Linked DNA regions of Arabidopsis thaliana. The protein of the gene in region 2 interacts with the protein of the main gene of each other region in a pairwise test. Each region holds a gene or a part of one and is shown on either strand. Other genes may lie near its edges.

The links. The genes of interacting proteins can lie anywhere in the genome.
Region 1: the proteins of E2F3 (region 2) and CDKB1;2 interact in a protein complementation assay, tested with the Arabidopsis thaliana proteins (one large-scale study listed by BioGRID).
Region 3: the proteins of E2F3 (region 2) and SYD interact in a two-hybrid assay, tested with the Arabidopsis thaliana proteins (one large-scale study listed by BioGRID).

The regions. Positions count from the first base shown.
Region 1 is NC_003071.7:16,150,703-16,154,587, forward strand, and holds CDKB1;2 (cyclin-dependent kinase B1;2), read left to right. Parts: upstream 1-1,770; 5' UTR 1,771-1,848; coding exon 1,849-2,482; intron 2,483-2,564; coding exon 2,565-2,634; coding exon of another isoform or gene 2,635-2,704; exon of another isoform or gene 2,705-2,789; coding exon 2,790-2,928; exon of another isoform or gene 2,929-3,071; coding exon 3,072-3,164; 3' UTR 3,165-3,384; downstream 3,385-3,885. Other genes in the region: AT2G38630 (Transducin/WD40 repeat-like superfamily protein), read right to left, coding at 3,581-3,816. UniProt on the Arabidopsis thaliana protein: Together with CDKB1-1, promotes both the last division in the stomatal cell lineage as well as the number of stomata.
Region 2 is NC_003071.7:15,117,992-15,123,694, forward strand, and holds E2F3 (E2F transcription factor 3), read left to right. Parts: upstream 1-1,597; 5' UTR 1,598-1,696; coding exon 1,697-1,972; intron 1,973-2,008; coding exon 2,009-2,158; intron 2,159-2,488; coding exon 2,489-2,675; intron 2,676-2,727; coding exon 2,728-2,769; intron 2,770-2,809; coding exon of another isoform or gene 2,810-2,863; intron 2,864-2,947; coding exon 2,948-3,122; intron 3,123-3,248; coding exon 3,249-3,300; intron 3,301-3,398; coding exon 3,399-3,457; intron 3,458-3,538; coding exon of another isoform or gene 3,539-3,589; intron 3,590-3,695; coding exon 3,696-3,744; intron 3,745-3,864; coding exon 3,865-3,930; intron 3,931-4,019; coding exon 4,020-4,096; intron 4,097-4,269; coding exon 4,270-4,513; intron 4,514-4,639; coding exon 4,640-4,709; intron 4,710-4,804; coding exon 4,805-4,902; 3' UTR 4,903-5,193; downstream 5,194-5,703. Other genes in the region: EMB3114 (Mitochondrial transcription termination factor family protein), read left to right, coding at 1-191; HVA22J (HVA22-like protein J), read right to left, coding at 5,433-5,703. UniProt on the Arabidopsis thaliana protein: Transcription activator that binds DNA cooperatively with DP proteins through the E2 recognition site, 5'-TTTC[CG]CGC-3' found in the promoter region of a number of genes whose products are involved in cell cycle regulation or in DNA replication.
Region 3 is NC_003071.7:12,055,089-12,059,771, reverse strand, and holds the start of SYD (P-loop containing nucleoside triphosphate hydrolases superfamily protein), read right to left. Parts: upstream 3,002-4,683; coding exon 2,894-3,001; intron 2,800-2,893; coding exon 2,738-2,799; intron 2,490-2,737; coding exon 2,374-2,489; intron 2,277-2,373; coding exon 1,887-2,276; intron 1,786-1,886; coding exon 1,730-1,785; intron 1,213-1,729; coding exon 1,052-1,212; intron 965-1,051; coding exon 900-964; intron 818-899; coding exon 425-817; intron 310-424; coding exon 149-309; intron 1-148. UniProt on the Arabidopsis thaliana protein: Catalytic component of the chromatin structure-remodeling complex (RSC), which is involved in transcription regulation and nucleosome positioning.

The sequences.
Region 1 (3,885 bases), 1.0 Mb from region 2:
ATGCTTAAATAAATCCAACCAACATAACTATCGAAGCTGTTGCAACACAACAATATTTGTCACAAAAAAAAAACAATCGTTTCAGATGGACAAGATATTCTAAAGTAAAGACTTGTCAAGCATTAACTTTGAAGAGAAGATTGTATTGGCTGAGTGATAGGGTTCTCTTCATCCATTGTTTTCTGTTTTTTCCTTGGTCGTCCTTGAGGTTTCTTGGGTGGTTTTGGCATTGCTTTACACTTGCATGAACGTTTGTTGTGTCCGACTTGTTGACAATTGCTGCAAGTCTAAATATGCAAAGATTAAATTTAATAATTTGAAAATGAAGATCTTGTGAAACATAATTCATTGTTCTCTATTTTACCATTTAAACTTTTTCACGTGTATAAAGAACTTTTTGAGGTGGACGATCTTCAGTTGGATCACGGATTCTGTCATTGTTCTTTGGTCGATTTTTGGAAATTAATATCCCATTAATATTTAATTACTATGGGGTTAAGTTTATTAACAGGTTTTAGTTCAGAGTTTGTTTTACTAAAAACATAGTTCAGAATTTAAAAATAGATCTGACCAAAGCTGACGGTTTTTTTCATTAAATTCCCTTAATAAAATGGTTGCAAATAAGTTTATTGACCCTAGTAAATCAGTAACGGTTTTTCATAATCAACTTTAAAGTCTTTAAGCCATTTTCTTTCGTTTAGTCAATGCCCTATCATTGAATATTATCTTTGTTTTCTTTTTCATTATTGTAATTTTCTTTTATGTATAGTAGTCCAATAATTTTTTAATATTCAGCCATTGTTTAGTTTCCACATGAAACACACAATTTGTTTATAATCTTGTTTTTCTTTCCCCTTTACATAGAACTTCTTATGATGATTTTTATGAGTTTGTGAAATTGCATACCTTGCACATTCGTAGACCTAGTCAGAATTTTTGTTGTTGTTGTAGTATCTTTATTGTAAAAAGAAATGGTTTTCTTAATGTAACTATCGATCAAAACTGATGCAATTACCATACATGAAATTGGAATGAGTGTAAGAAGAATATAAAGTTGAAATAAATCAAAAATGTGAAACTGAATCAATATCATATGAAGTTGAATCATGTATACTAGAAGCCTAGAACACAAGAAACAACCCACCATTAATGAATAATGAGTAAGAGTTCACAGTCCCAAAATAATTGAAGTTACAAATTCGAACACAAAAAATCAAACCTAAACATTTTTCCAATTGGTTGAGTAAGTGAAAAAAAACTACGTAGTAAGAAATTCTTTTTTTGAGTTTGTGCCAAACATTGAACATTAACGTATAAGGAGAAAACTAATGGGATACAAGCTAAAACAGTTATAGTCTTATTAATTAGTATGTTAAATACTAGATTAAAGTTAAAATGAAGTTGGAAAAGCTCGAAGTTTCAACCAATTAATGCGAAATGATCGACTCTTCAAGTAATATTAATAGTTTAGCAAAATAAATGACTGAAAAATCTTTATTATGGGTTGTGGCTGCAAGCATGAGCTTAGCTTTTTGTACTCAGGGCCGGCTTTACATCAAAGATCATGCATAGATTCATTCAACTAAACATTCACCATGGATAATGAATTGAAATCTATAAACATAATCAAGCAAATATCTTATACTATACTTATCTGTTTAAAATGACTTTGAGTCTTTGACTAATAAAATATTATTGGTACGTGTGAAGCGTGCGAGGGATTCAAATGTTAAACGTTATAGCAAAGAGGCGCCTTTATTTACCAGATCTAAAATCGAAAAGGGGCTTTAGGGTTTATAAGACCCAAACAAAAAACATTCATCAGTCTCAATTCAAAATCCTCCATCAATGGAGAAATACGAGAAGCTCGAAAAGGTCGGTGAAGGAACCTATGGAAAAGTCTACAAAGCAATGGAGAAAACCACCGGAAAACTCGTCGCTCTGAAGAAAACTAGGCTCGAAATGGACGAAGAAGGTATACCACCAACGGCTCTCCGTGAGATCTCTCTTCTCCAAATGCTTTCTCAATCAATCTACATCGTTCGTCTCCTCTGCGTCGAACATGTTATTCAATCGAAAGATTCGACTGTTTCTCACTCTCCCAAATCCAATCTCTATCTCGTTTTTGAGTATCTCGACACTGATCTCAAGAAATTTATAGATTCTCATAGAAAGGGCTCGAATCCTAGACCGCTTGAGGCTTCTCTTGTGCAGAGGTTTATGTTTCAGCTTTTTAAAGGTGTGGCTCATTGTCATAGCCATGGTGTGCTTCACCGTGATCTTAAACCGCAGAATCTTCTATTGGATAAGGATAAAGGGATTCTTAAGATTGCTGATTTGGGTCTTAGTCGTGCTTTTACTGTGCCTCTTAAGGCTTATACACATGAGATTGTTACTCTTTGGTATAGAGCTCCTGAAGTTTTGCTTGGTTCTACTCATTACTCTACTGCTGTTGATATTTGGTCTGTTGGATGCATCTTTGGTTAGTAATCAGCTACTATGTCTCTTTTAATGGTCTTTTGTTCTACTGTTTGGATTACTGATGTTTCCCCATTTTTTTGTAGCCGAGATGATTAGGAGGCAAGCTCTTTTCCCTGGTGATTCTGAGTTTCAGCAACTACTTCATATTTTCAGGTATTTGCTTCTTGTTTTTGATGCCAATGTGTATGTATACAGGAACCAGTTTAGGACTTTAGCCCATTAGGTTCAGTACTCGTGAACTCATTTGGATTATGGGGACTGTCTAGTATCAATATATCTGAAGTATGGTTTTGTTTTGGGTTCTGGAGATTGTTAGGAACACCAACTGAGCAGCAATGGCCGGGTGTAATGGCATTGCGTGACTGGCATGTCTATCCAAAGTGGGAGCCGCAAGACTTATCACGTGCTGTTCCATCTCTATCTCCTGAAGGAATTGATCTTCTCACGGTAATGCTCTTTTCTAAAATATGACCATTGTTGGAGAAGTGGCCTAAGATTCTCTTGCATACTTGATCTCTTTAGTAGATTCTTTCTGTTGGGGTTCGTTCCTAGTTGATGATAATTTGTTTTGAACCTTTGAACAATTGCAGCAAATGTTGAAGTACAATCCAGCAGAAAGAATTTCAGCAAAAGCAGCTCTCGATCATCCCTACTTTGACAGCCTTGACAAATCTCAGTTCTGACCTCTGCCAAATTACTGATCAGGCTTCTCTTTGGAGTTCTGAAGCTGATGGCTCAAGTTTATTGTCTTGGTGTCTTATGCTGTGTGCTTTAGAAAGATTTGTACTTAAACTAAACAATCTGAAAACCTTGTTTGTTCAGCGAGAGTGAGAGAATCTTCTTTAAGTGGCCAATTTTATTTGTTCATGTAAACAAGTCTATCAAAGCAAAAATGGTTAACCCTATTAAGCAGACAAATCATTAGTGTACATAAATGAGAGACGAATTTGAAATATTTGCTGTTTCATTACAACGACAATTGCTACTCAAACACACAAGTAAATTACATATCTCATGATATTACACAATTGAGAAACAGAACAAGATACAGAGATCTCTTGTATTAATGTAAAAAAAACAAAACAAATGATGAGTAGCTTCAATTAGACCAGACATGGAGGAGGCCGTGTCTGTTTCCTGTGTATATTTCATTCCGTTCTTCGTCGTAGAAGAGAGCGGTTATGTCTTCCAAAGCCTCAGCAACCGCACTTCTCCTTCGAGAGGAATTCCCCAAATCACTACTGCTGCAGTCCTCTTCCTTAGGAGGACCATTATTTGCTTTTATCTTAGCTAAGCATTTACCAGTCAAGATATTGCTTATGTTAATCGACCCCGCTACATCAACAACCAAAATCACGACAATGTCTCAATAGCAAAACAAAATCAGACCATGAGGTTTCTTGA
Region 2 (5,703 bases):
ATTTCTCGTTTAGTTTGGAGAATCGGATTAAACCGAGACATGAAGCTTGTGCTGCGAAAGGTGTGAGGTTTCCATTGCCGGTGATGTTGAAGACTAATGAAGCTGGTTTTAGAGATACATTGGAGGTATGTTGTGATTCTTCTCCGCCATTGAAGACCTCTCGCCTTGTTACTGTACAAAAAGATTCTTGATTTATAGAGTTTTGTGTGCTAGGAGAACATGGAAGCAAGTGAGTGAGAGTTTCTTGCTTTTTGTTGTTGTTTTTTTGTTTAATGGAGTTGGAGAATTGGTGAGAATTGATGGGGTTTGCTTTGTTTTTAGGTACATTTTTGTAATGAATGATGATGAAGAACTCAATGAATGAAGAAACCAGCCTCTGCCTACATTTTGAGACACACACAGGGATGGTGAGTTAAATCTTGATAAGAGAAAGAATGTTCATTTACAATTCACGATTCCGATGTATTTCGGTCTAGTTATTGTTAGTGAACGAGAAATCAAGTGTATGTAAGTCCAGAAACCGTGTAGAGTTGCGATTTGCAGAGAATTGTGATTCTACAATTGGAGGCAAGATGATGAATGTGTGAACTGATTAGCGTAACGGTTTAGTTATTGGTCTTAAGTCTTAACAGGGAGAATTGGTTCTAGAGCTTTTAGTCCCTTTGATGGTTCGTGAAATGCCAGTGGTCTATGATCGGATTCTCTGTTTCCGTTCTCCTTCTTTTTTTGGGCCTTAAATCCGTTTTTATTGGGCTTCAACTTGATAACGACTTTACATTCTCTCGGCTCAAATGGGGTACACTCGTAATGAACATGAATGAACTTAAGGTACTACAATACAACAATGCCTCACACTCTCTAAGTGAACCATTTTTCTTGTGACCTGTAATAAGCTAACGGCGCAGGACAAGAAAAAAGCGGTACGAAAACTTTGCCAATCTAGGTCTTTACCAATTTCTATTTACCCTTTCTAACTATTTTCTATCACTCATTTGTCGTTAATACTAATTAATGACATCAATCATGTGCAATATTATAGTCCTCCAAATACTGAATTGAATTATGAATCCTTCATCAAGTGACTTTAGACTTAATCTACACTTCGCATCAGTTTTTCCACTGCCATACATGATACAACAACCACTAATCAATACAAAAGGATAAAAAATAAAAATAAAAATATTATTACACATATCATAACGGAAACAGCAGCACATGTACTATAAACAAACTCTATCCCAATCTATTTGCAGAAATCTGTTTACCGACTACACACATTTAAATAAAAATTTCAGATTCAAAAAACAAGTTCTAGATCAAAAATATATATGCATGATCTCCTCTTCTTCACCATTATAAAGAACAGAAAAGAATCTCAATATTCCCGTTACTAAAAGGCACAAAAAGTAATTTCCCTAAAGTAAGTAGGGTCAATCTAAAACTAAATACAAAATCCCGGGGCACAAATAGAAAGAAAAAAAAGTATATATTTATTTCCTTAACATTTTATTTATTATTGCTATAGGCTTCCCTCCACATCTATCCCAACATAAAATTCCCTCCTTCCCTCGTTTTCTGCTCTCTCCTTTTCTTTTCTTCTTCCTCTTTCTCTCACTAAAACCCTTGTTTCCTTCACTCGCCGTCGCTTTTCCCGTCATCGGAATCTTCAAATTCGACTCTCGCTTCACTACGATCCATGTCCGGTGTCGTACGATCTTCTCCCGGTTCTTCTCAGCCGCCACCGCCGCCGCCGCACCATCCACCGTCATCTCCGGTTCCGGTTACATCTACGCCGGTTATACCACCTATACGTCGTCACTTAGCTTTCGCCTCAACAAAACCTCCGTTTCATCCTTCCGATGATTACCATCGATTTAACCCTTCTTCGCTCAGTAATAATAACGACAGGAGCTTCGTTCATGGTTGTGGTGTTGTAGATCGGGAGGAAGATGCTGTCGTTGTTAGATCTCCTGTGAGTTTTGGGTGCTTTTGATTCTTCGATTTAGAGATTTTCCCCAGTGAGATTGGTTTAGAAATTCGAGGATGTTTTGGGGATTTCGATTGCTACTTGTTGCTTCTAAGTCTGATTCAAAAGCTTCGCAGCGTTAGATTATCGTCGATTCGTGTCAATTTTTGTCGTTTGTTTAGCTTCGCGATGGTACATTTTGCTCATAACACTGCGTTTCAATTACACCCAATTGACGCAAATCAGACATCAATTTCTCCAATTGCCATGCCAAATTGGCTCTGATTGTTGCGTGAGGTGTTGAATGTTCACATAGTGTTGAGCATTAGCTTATTGATATCAAAGTATTGGTGTATGAAGCTTGACATTGTTTGTTAATGTATAATGTTTCAAGTAGATCCCAATGTTGTGAAAGTTTATGAGGAATGATATAGATAATTTGTGTGTGGATGCTTTAAAACCTTTTGGATGATATTTCTTTGACCAACTTCTTTAAGCTAATAACAACTTGTTTATATGCAGTCACGAAAGAGAAAGGCGACAATGGATATGGTTGTTGCTCCATCTAATAATGGATTCACGAGTTCTGGTTTCACTAACATACCTAGCAGTCCCTGTCAAACTCCTAGAAAAGGGGGCAGAGTCAACATCAAGTCAAAGGCCAAAGGAAACAAGTCAACTCCTCAAACACCCATCTCGACAAACGCTGGTAAGAAGAATTGTATTCTTGACTCTCTACCCCTTTTGGCCTTTCTATATAGTTAGATCCTTTTATGAAATATCTTTCATGTCTAGAGTAACAAGTAAGTCGAAGAGCTGATTACTTTCCTGGTCAACTTGCAGGTTCTCCTATCACACTTACTCCATCAGGAAGTTGTCGTTATGACAGTTCTTTAGGTAATTAACAACTTTTCACATATATATTTAATATTCGATACATGTTATAGTGTATATGAAGATGCTGACATAAAAGCTGTTCAGGTCTCCTTACAAAAAAGTTCGTCAATCTAATTAAACAAGCCAAAGATGGAATGCTGGACCTAAACAAAGCTGCAGAAACATTGGAGGTGCAGAAACGACGTATATATGATATTACAAACGTTTTGGAGGGGATAGATCTCATTGAAAAGCCTTTCAAGAATCGAATACTTTGGAAGTGAGGATTTTTATGATATAGTATGCTTATGTATTTTGTACTGAAAGCATATCCTGCTTCATTGGGATATTACTGAAAGCATTTAACTACATGTAAACTCACTTGATGATCAATAAACTTGATTAGGGGAGTTGATGCGTGTCCTGGCGATGAGGATGCTGACGTATCTGTATTACAGGTGTAGTGAAACAGCATACACTCAAAAGTCATTGTGCATGTAAATCTTAAAATATCATGTAGTTCTCGCTTCCTTTGATTAATGTTCTTGTTTTGTAGCTGCAGGCAGAAATTGAAAACCTCGCCCTCGAAGAGCAAGCATTAGACAACCAAATCAGGTAAGCATTCATTTAAAGAGTTTTGGGTTATTGTGATTAATCTATTTAACCAATGCTGACGCTTTAACAACTTTTATTCAGACAAACAGAGGAAAGATTAAGAGACCTGAGCGAAAATGAAAAGAATCAGAAGTATAAATCTCTGTCTATCTATCTTTTCGTATGGCTAGTTTGTTCTGGCTATGAGATGGTGCTATTTATATGATGGACACTTAACCAATCCGTTCACATTGTCCAGATGGCTTTTTGTAACTGAAGAGGATATCAAGAGTTTACCAGGTTTCCAGGTCTGTCTTTCCTATTTCATATGTTTAATCCTAGGAATTTGATCAATTGATTGTATGTATGTCGATCCCAAGACTTTCTTGTTCACTTATATCTTAACTCTCTCTTTGCTGTTTCTGCAGAACCAGACTCTGATAGCCGTCAAAGCTCCTCATGGCACAACTTTGGAAGTGCCTGATCCAGATGAAGTTAGTCTTTTTCAGCGACCTTGGATGACATCTGCCATTCTTTGTTAGATTCCAAAACGTTATTATAATGTTTCTTCTTTACTTGACAGGCGGCTGACCACCCACAAAGGAGATACAGGATCATTCTTAGAAGTACAATGGGACCTATTGACGTATACCTCGTCAGGTATTTATGCGTTGGCTTCAAATAATAGAAACATTGTTATTGGCATTTTCCGTGACTTCATATACTCTACTGATGATGGTATACATATAATTGAACGTATCAAAACAAAGATTTCTATGATTTGGAACATTCATTGTCCCGTTTACATGCTTTTACTTTGTCTTCATGTTCAGCGAATTTGAAGGGAAATTCGAAGACACAAATGGGAGTGGTGCAGCACCACCAGCATGCTTGCCTATTGCTTCTAGCTCAGGATCTACAGGACACCATGACATCGAAGCCTTAACTGTTGACAACCCAGAAACTGCTATTGTGTCTCATGATCATCCTCATCCTCAACCCGGCGATACCTCTGATCTTAATTATTTGCAAGAGCAAGTAGGAGGAATGCTTAAGATTACTCCCTCTGATGTTGAAGTAAGCCATCTTCCTGCTTATTTTTATAATGAACATAGAAATAGGAAGTTGTGCAGAGAAACTAATTAACCTGACTCAAAATCTACCCTCATAATTGTTGTTTGATATTGGTCTTGTATTTTGCAGAATGATGAGTCGGACTACTGGCTTCTCTCAAATGCTGAGATTAGCATGACGGATATTTGGAAAACTGACTGTATCCTTTGCATATATGCAATTTGTTTCTCTCTTATAGTTAACTATATCTATCTGCATAAGATATAAATACGCAATCCTTAACTCTAGCAAAAGCTGGTATCGATTGGGATTATGGAATAGCCGACGTGAGTACTCCACCACCAGGAATGGGCGAAATAGCACCAACAGCTGTTGACTCAACCCCGAGATGATCGAATACCAAGCACACTTCTCAACTTCTGATCCCAAATGTGTTACCTCACAACACTCCCTAAAATCATATACAAGGAGGGAGCAACTACAGAACGTGTATGAACCAATGGCAGGTGCGTTCCATACAATGTACCATTAGATTATGATTCATTTATCGCCTAGAGTGATGTTGTAGAGGAGCACCGAGAAACTAATGTAAGTTTAACAGAGAATGTACTTCATCGGCTGCATTGGTACACTATTTGATTATAATATTTTTGACCACTCAAATGCATCTTTATAATCAGCTATATGAAGAAATCCAAACTCAAATCAATATCCGGATTAAAGCGGGAAGTTTAAACGAAAACAAACACAAATATTCTCGCTGTATTAATACTTACTGCTTCAATTTACAGAAAACATGAAAAAAAAAAAAAAATCTGTTTTGTTTCAATTCAAAACTTTCATTCACTTTTCTTTCCCTATATATCTTTAAACAAACGAAAAGGGTTTCTTTGTCGAGTCACGTATATGTACGTTTGCGTTACTATGCCGCTGGCTGAGTTCTGGAGTTAGAACGTCGCAGCTTAGCTCGAGCATCAGTGAGGGGTGATCCCGGAATTGTATCAGGAATGTTGACTCCATCATCACCGTTAAATGTTCCGGCGGAGTCTCGGCCTGGTGTTGGTGGTGGTGTTGGTGGCGGCCACTTCCTCCCTCTGCTTGTTTGCTTCTCTAGCGATCGCAACGCAGATAGTGATTTGTTCAGCGGTCTTGGAGCGCGCGGTGATGGAGGATCATTGTCCATCTCCACCGGT
Region 3 (4,683 bases), 3.1 Mb from region 2:
TGATCTGTTCCAATAACAAGATCAAGAACACGGAAAAGTAAGAACCACCACAAACAACAAGCAACAGCATAAAACGTTGACACCAGGAAAAATCAATCACTCGTGAAACAAAAGGTAACACCAATGAAAGAAAAGGCTAGAGAAAGACCTTCAACTCATTGAACCGTGAACCAATTGCCTGGTCGGCTTTCTGCTGTTTAAGGGACCAACTACGATCAACCAATAGTCTCTTATTCTGTCGACCCATAATCCATTTCTGTGACATGGTGTACTTAGGCGACGGTTGCAAATTACCTTCCTCTTCATCTGCTATGTGCCATATATCCATATTCGAAGAGTTATCAATCAAATTAGTTAACAATACTACACTCCAAAAGGGAAAGACCCATCAGTTAAAACAATCCCATCTAAGATAGTCACTAACCAGAAGAATGAAATTCGTCGAGTTGAACAGCAGAAGTTGAGAGGTCATTAGTTTTGATTACTCCAGTCCACCCCACCATCTCTGATGGTGTGTTTTTGGTCAAACCAGGAGAAAACGTTAGTTGAGAATGACTAACAGCAACCTGAGTTTGTGCTTGAGAGCTGGGAATTCTAGATGCTAGAAGCTTTTGCCCGTCAGAAAATACAGTATTTGCGAAACTTTTTTCCCCTAGTCTTGATCTCTCAGTTTCTTTGGATGAGAAGTCCATTTCATCCAATCTTCCAGTGGGATTGTCTGTTCTTGACAACAGTGCAGAGACGTCAGGAATGCCACCCAGATCACTGGACGTATGTGTTCTCCCTTTCGGATCAAACAATTCTCCGCGGAAACCATCTGTAATGAAGACCAATTATGATCCAAGGGAAAGCATGTAAAAAGTGGATTCGAAAGTAACTTCAGTGAGCACCAACATTACCTTCTTCGCGGAAAGTATTTCGAAGGGCAATCTCTACGTGAAGTTTCTTCGGTACCAAACCATTTCTACGAGATGAAAATCAACCAGAAATTTTTAGAGTTACAATTGCCGCACCAAAAGGAGTATACAGAGGCTAGGAGACTGTAAGGTACCTAAGAGCTAGAAACACAAGGCACTGGGCTCTGAGCTGCTTCAGTTGTTGCTCTCTAAAAGGTGAACCTGAAGGCAGGAATCCCTCTCCTGCAACATTATTTCCAGGTTCTTTATGAATTGCAGGCCTGATTGCTGTGGCTTCACTGCTCTGCCAGCCACACTGCCATAGAAAATAAGATCCCACATATAGAGGGGATGAGTTCCAACGAGGTATCTTGGTATGAAATAAAAGAGGAAAGGACATTTTGCAGAGCCTAAGTCAGACTATATGCAAGTAAGATTCAATACATCATATAGAAGGCAAAGTTTTAATCAAATCACGTTTTTGAAAAAGTGAATTTAGTGGCATCTAAGTTTTTTAGGTTAAAAAACAAAGAAAATCACCACGGGAAATGCAAGCATTTTTTTCATATTTCCAATACAGAAAACGAAAATAGATAAGAAAATAATACTTCTAAGGAGAGACAAATGTTTCGGAGAATAAGCCACCATGTGCCAGCATATATCTCTTTATACATTCTTAAGAAGTTATTGTGCATCAGATACGTGTAGCACAAAGTCCCAAAATATTTGAAATTGGCAGAGTCAGGGAGGCTCAAAATGATTTCATAAACCTAATGTTATGTACACAATATGTATATAATCTGGATGGATTCGGGAAACTTAGTGTTATGTACCTGTGGAGTCGTGAATGCATCTGAGGACAACCCAACATGCAAATTCCTAATGTCACCTGAGGTTTAATGGCAACAATTGTAGGGTGCTTCTTATATTCTAGATTAAAAAGGATATGCTTTGTTCTGTAAGAAACAATGTTGAAGCAAATATCCCTACCTGAATTACCGGGCATTTCTATTTTGCTTACTTCTCCAGTTTGATCATCAATCTTGTGGCTATCAAATATTTGAGAGTTATCCATATTCTGGTCCCATGAAAGTGATGATTCACCTCTCTTTCTCTTTCCACTCGACTTGACATCTCTTTGATTCATTGTCTCACTACGATTGTGAGGTTGAGAAATTCCAGACGTAGAATCCAAGTTGGATGGACTCTCACGATCAAATGATCTGTTACTTTGAGTTCCAGACCCTTGGTAAAAGGTTTGTGACGCACTGTTTGATCCACCAAGCTGCCTACCAGAAGTGAATGCATCGTATTTTGTCATCTCATTTTCAACTAGAGTTGCTTTACCCTCATTGCTAACTCCAACCGCTTGGGAAGACCCTGTATTCCACATTGATGCAAGAAGCTTAAGATAATAAATAAATAAATAAAAAAAACAATTGAAACACTCAACTGAAACAAAGGAGAGAGGATATACCAGCCAAATGTGCAGACCCAGAATCTTCCGTTTGGGTACCACCAGGATGAGGAAGACACGAGGACTTCAAAGCTTCAATGTCAAGACCGTGTTGATTGACTACAGTGTCCATGGCCCTGGGAGTTTTAGAAAGACTTTATCAGTAAAACAAAAGTGATAAATCTTTGAAAGCATGAGAAACAGCTTGACGCTGAAAGACCCAGAATAACTAGATTCTAAAGTCTTGAGTTAGATAAAGGCTAAAGCAACTGATTCAGTAAGAAGCAGCCCCCACGTCCTCACAGCGTAAGAAGATTATATCATCTCAACCTAATCAGTAATTCATTAACAAATAACCAGCGACGATATATAAGGAAAACAATACCTAGATATGACTTGATAGGGCATTGTGTTTTCCTTTCCACTGGTTTTCATGTGCTGCAATATCTAGAGTAATCGAAAGAATAAACAAAGTTAAAGCACAGGAATAAAGCTCAAAATTACAAAATAAAACATACACTGAGTGGTGAAGCCACATTACCACATAAAGTTTAGTTGCTAGCTTTGCAGGTTCATCTTTAGAATCTTGAATAAGTTTATGCAGAAACTTAGCTGCTTCCAACTCAATATTATGCGAAGAAGACGTCATCTTAACTTAAATTACACCATCACATAAGAATTCCCTGCATCACCACAAGCATGCAGATATTGATTACACAATTCAGAATAAAACAAGACTAATTCCAACCAATGTGCCCAAAAAAAAAAACTAAACTAAACTCTAGAGTCCATACTCCATACCAAACAAATAAAAGAAAATAGCCCAAGAGCAAGTAAATCATAAAGGAGGAAAATTTATGTACCTAAAAGCAAAACTAAAGCGAGAAGAACCTAACAAAAAAAAAAAACTCAGAGGTCCACAATTCATGTGATAAATCCACGGATACATACAAAATTGTAAAATTGGCTGATGGAGCTAAAAAATTCCCCAAATCGCAAGGCAAAGGAGAAGAATTCGCGAGTTACTCTAGTTAATGCAACTCACAAAACCCTAAATAGCTAAATAACGATCCATCAGTGTAGAAGGAGACGAAGAAGAACAAGAAGAAAGAGAGAGGGAGCTTTACAAATTAGAGATCCGGCTCGAGAAGACGAAGCAGAAGTGAAATTTCAGGTGAGAAACGTTGAGAGCTGACAAGTGAAGAAGCTATGCGTCGTCTCTGCGAAATGACTCTCCAAATGAAGAAATGTATAAAACTTATTTCAGACATTAATCAAGAGTTCTAAACGAGACCCCTTAATGGGCCTTGACCCATTACCATAAAGCCCAAATTGAAAAAGATAAGTTATATCACTAAAAGAGGGCGTGAAGAGATGGATTGATAGACACGGAAAAGAGAGAGAGATTTTGGGAGATTCGATTCGAAGATGTTCGATCTTCCAATTGATATGGAGGAGGAGGTGCTCTCTAGGGTTCCGGTGAAATCTCTGGGGAAACTGCGATTGACCTGCAAAAAGTGGAACACTATAACGAAAAGTGAGAGCTTTTTAAAGAAGAAACAGAGGAATGGAATTGAGGTGGTGATGATGATGGACTATAGAGTTTCCTTGATGAGCGTAGATCTACTCTCTCCGTCTATAGATCCTATAGGTAATCTCAATGCAGATGGAATCAAAATATCTAAAATCTTTCACTGCCAAGGGTTTATTCTTATGCATCAACAAGGACAGAGACAAAGACTCTTCTAGGGTTGTTGTTTGGAACCCTTATTTGGGACAAACAAGGTATATCGAATTACCTAGAAATTCTATCTACCACAAGTGCGTGAAGTACGCTCTCGGATACGAGAAAAAGAATCACAAAATCTTGAGATTCGTGAATGAGTACTTGGAGACCAGTAGGGACCGAATTCGTGAGCTTCAGATTTACAGTTTATACTCCAATTCATGGGAGGTCATTGATGATTTCACTCCAGACTGGTATATTTTGTACAAACACAGTGGCGTGTCTCTAAAGGGAAACACTTACTGGTATGCCCTAGAAGAGATCCCATTTCATGGTCTACCATCACTAGATCACCCTGATTTTCTACTATCCTTTGATTTCAAGATTTGAACCGCGTCTGCCTCTGCCTTTCCGAGCCGTATTTGGAGATACTGTGACGCTTGCTAGTGTTAGAGAAGAGCAGCTTGCGGTGCTGTTTCACCGGGCATCCGTCGTCGAGATATGGATTACTAATAAGATTGAGCCTAATGCAGTGTCGTGGAGCAACTTGTTATTTGCTGTTGATATGAAACCAGTCGCTGGTTTTTGGTTTCCTAATGTCGGTA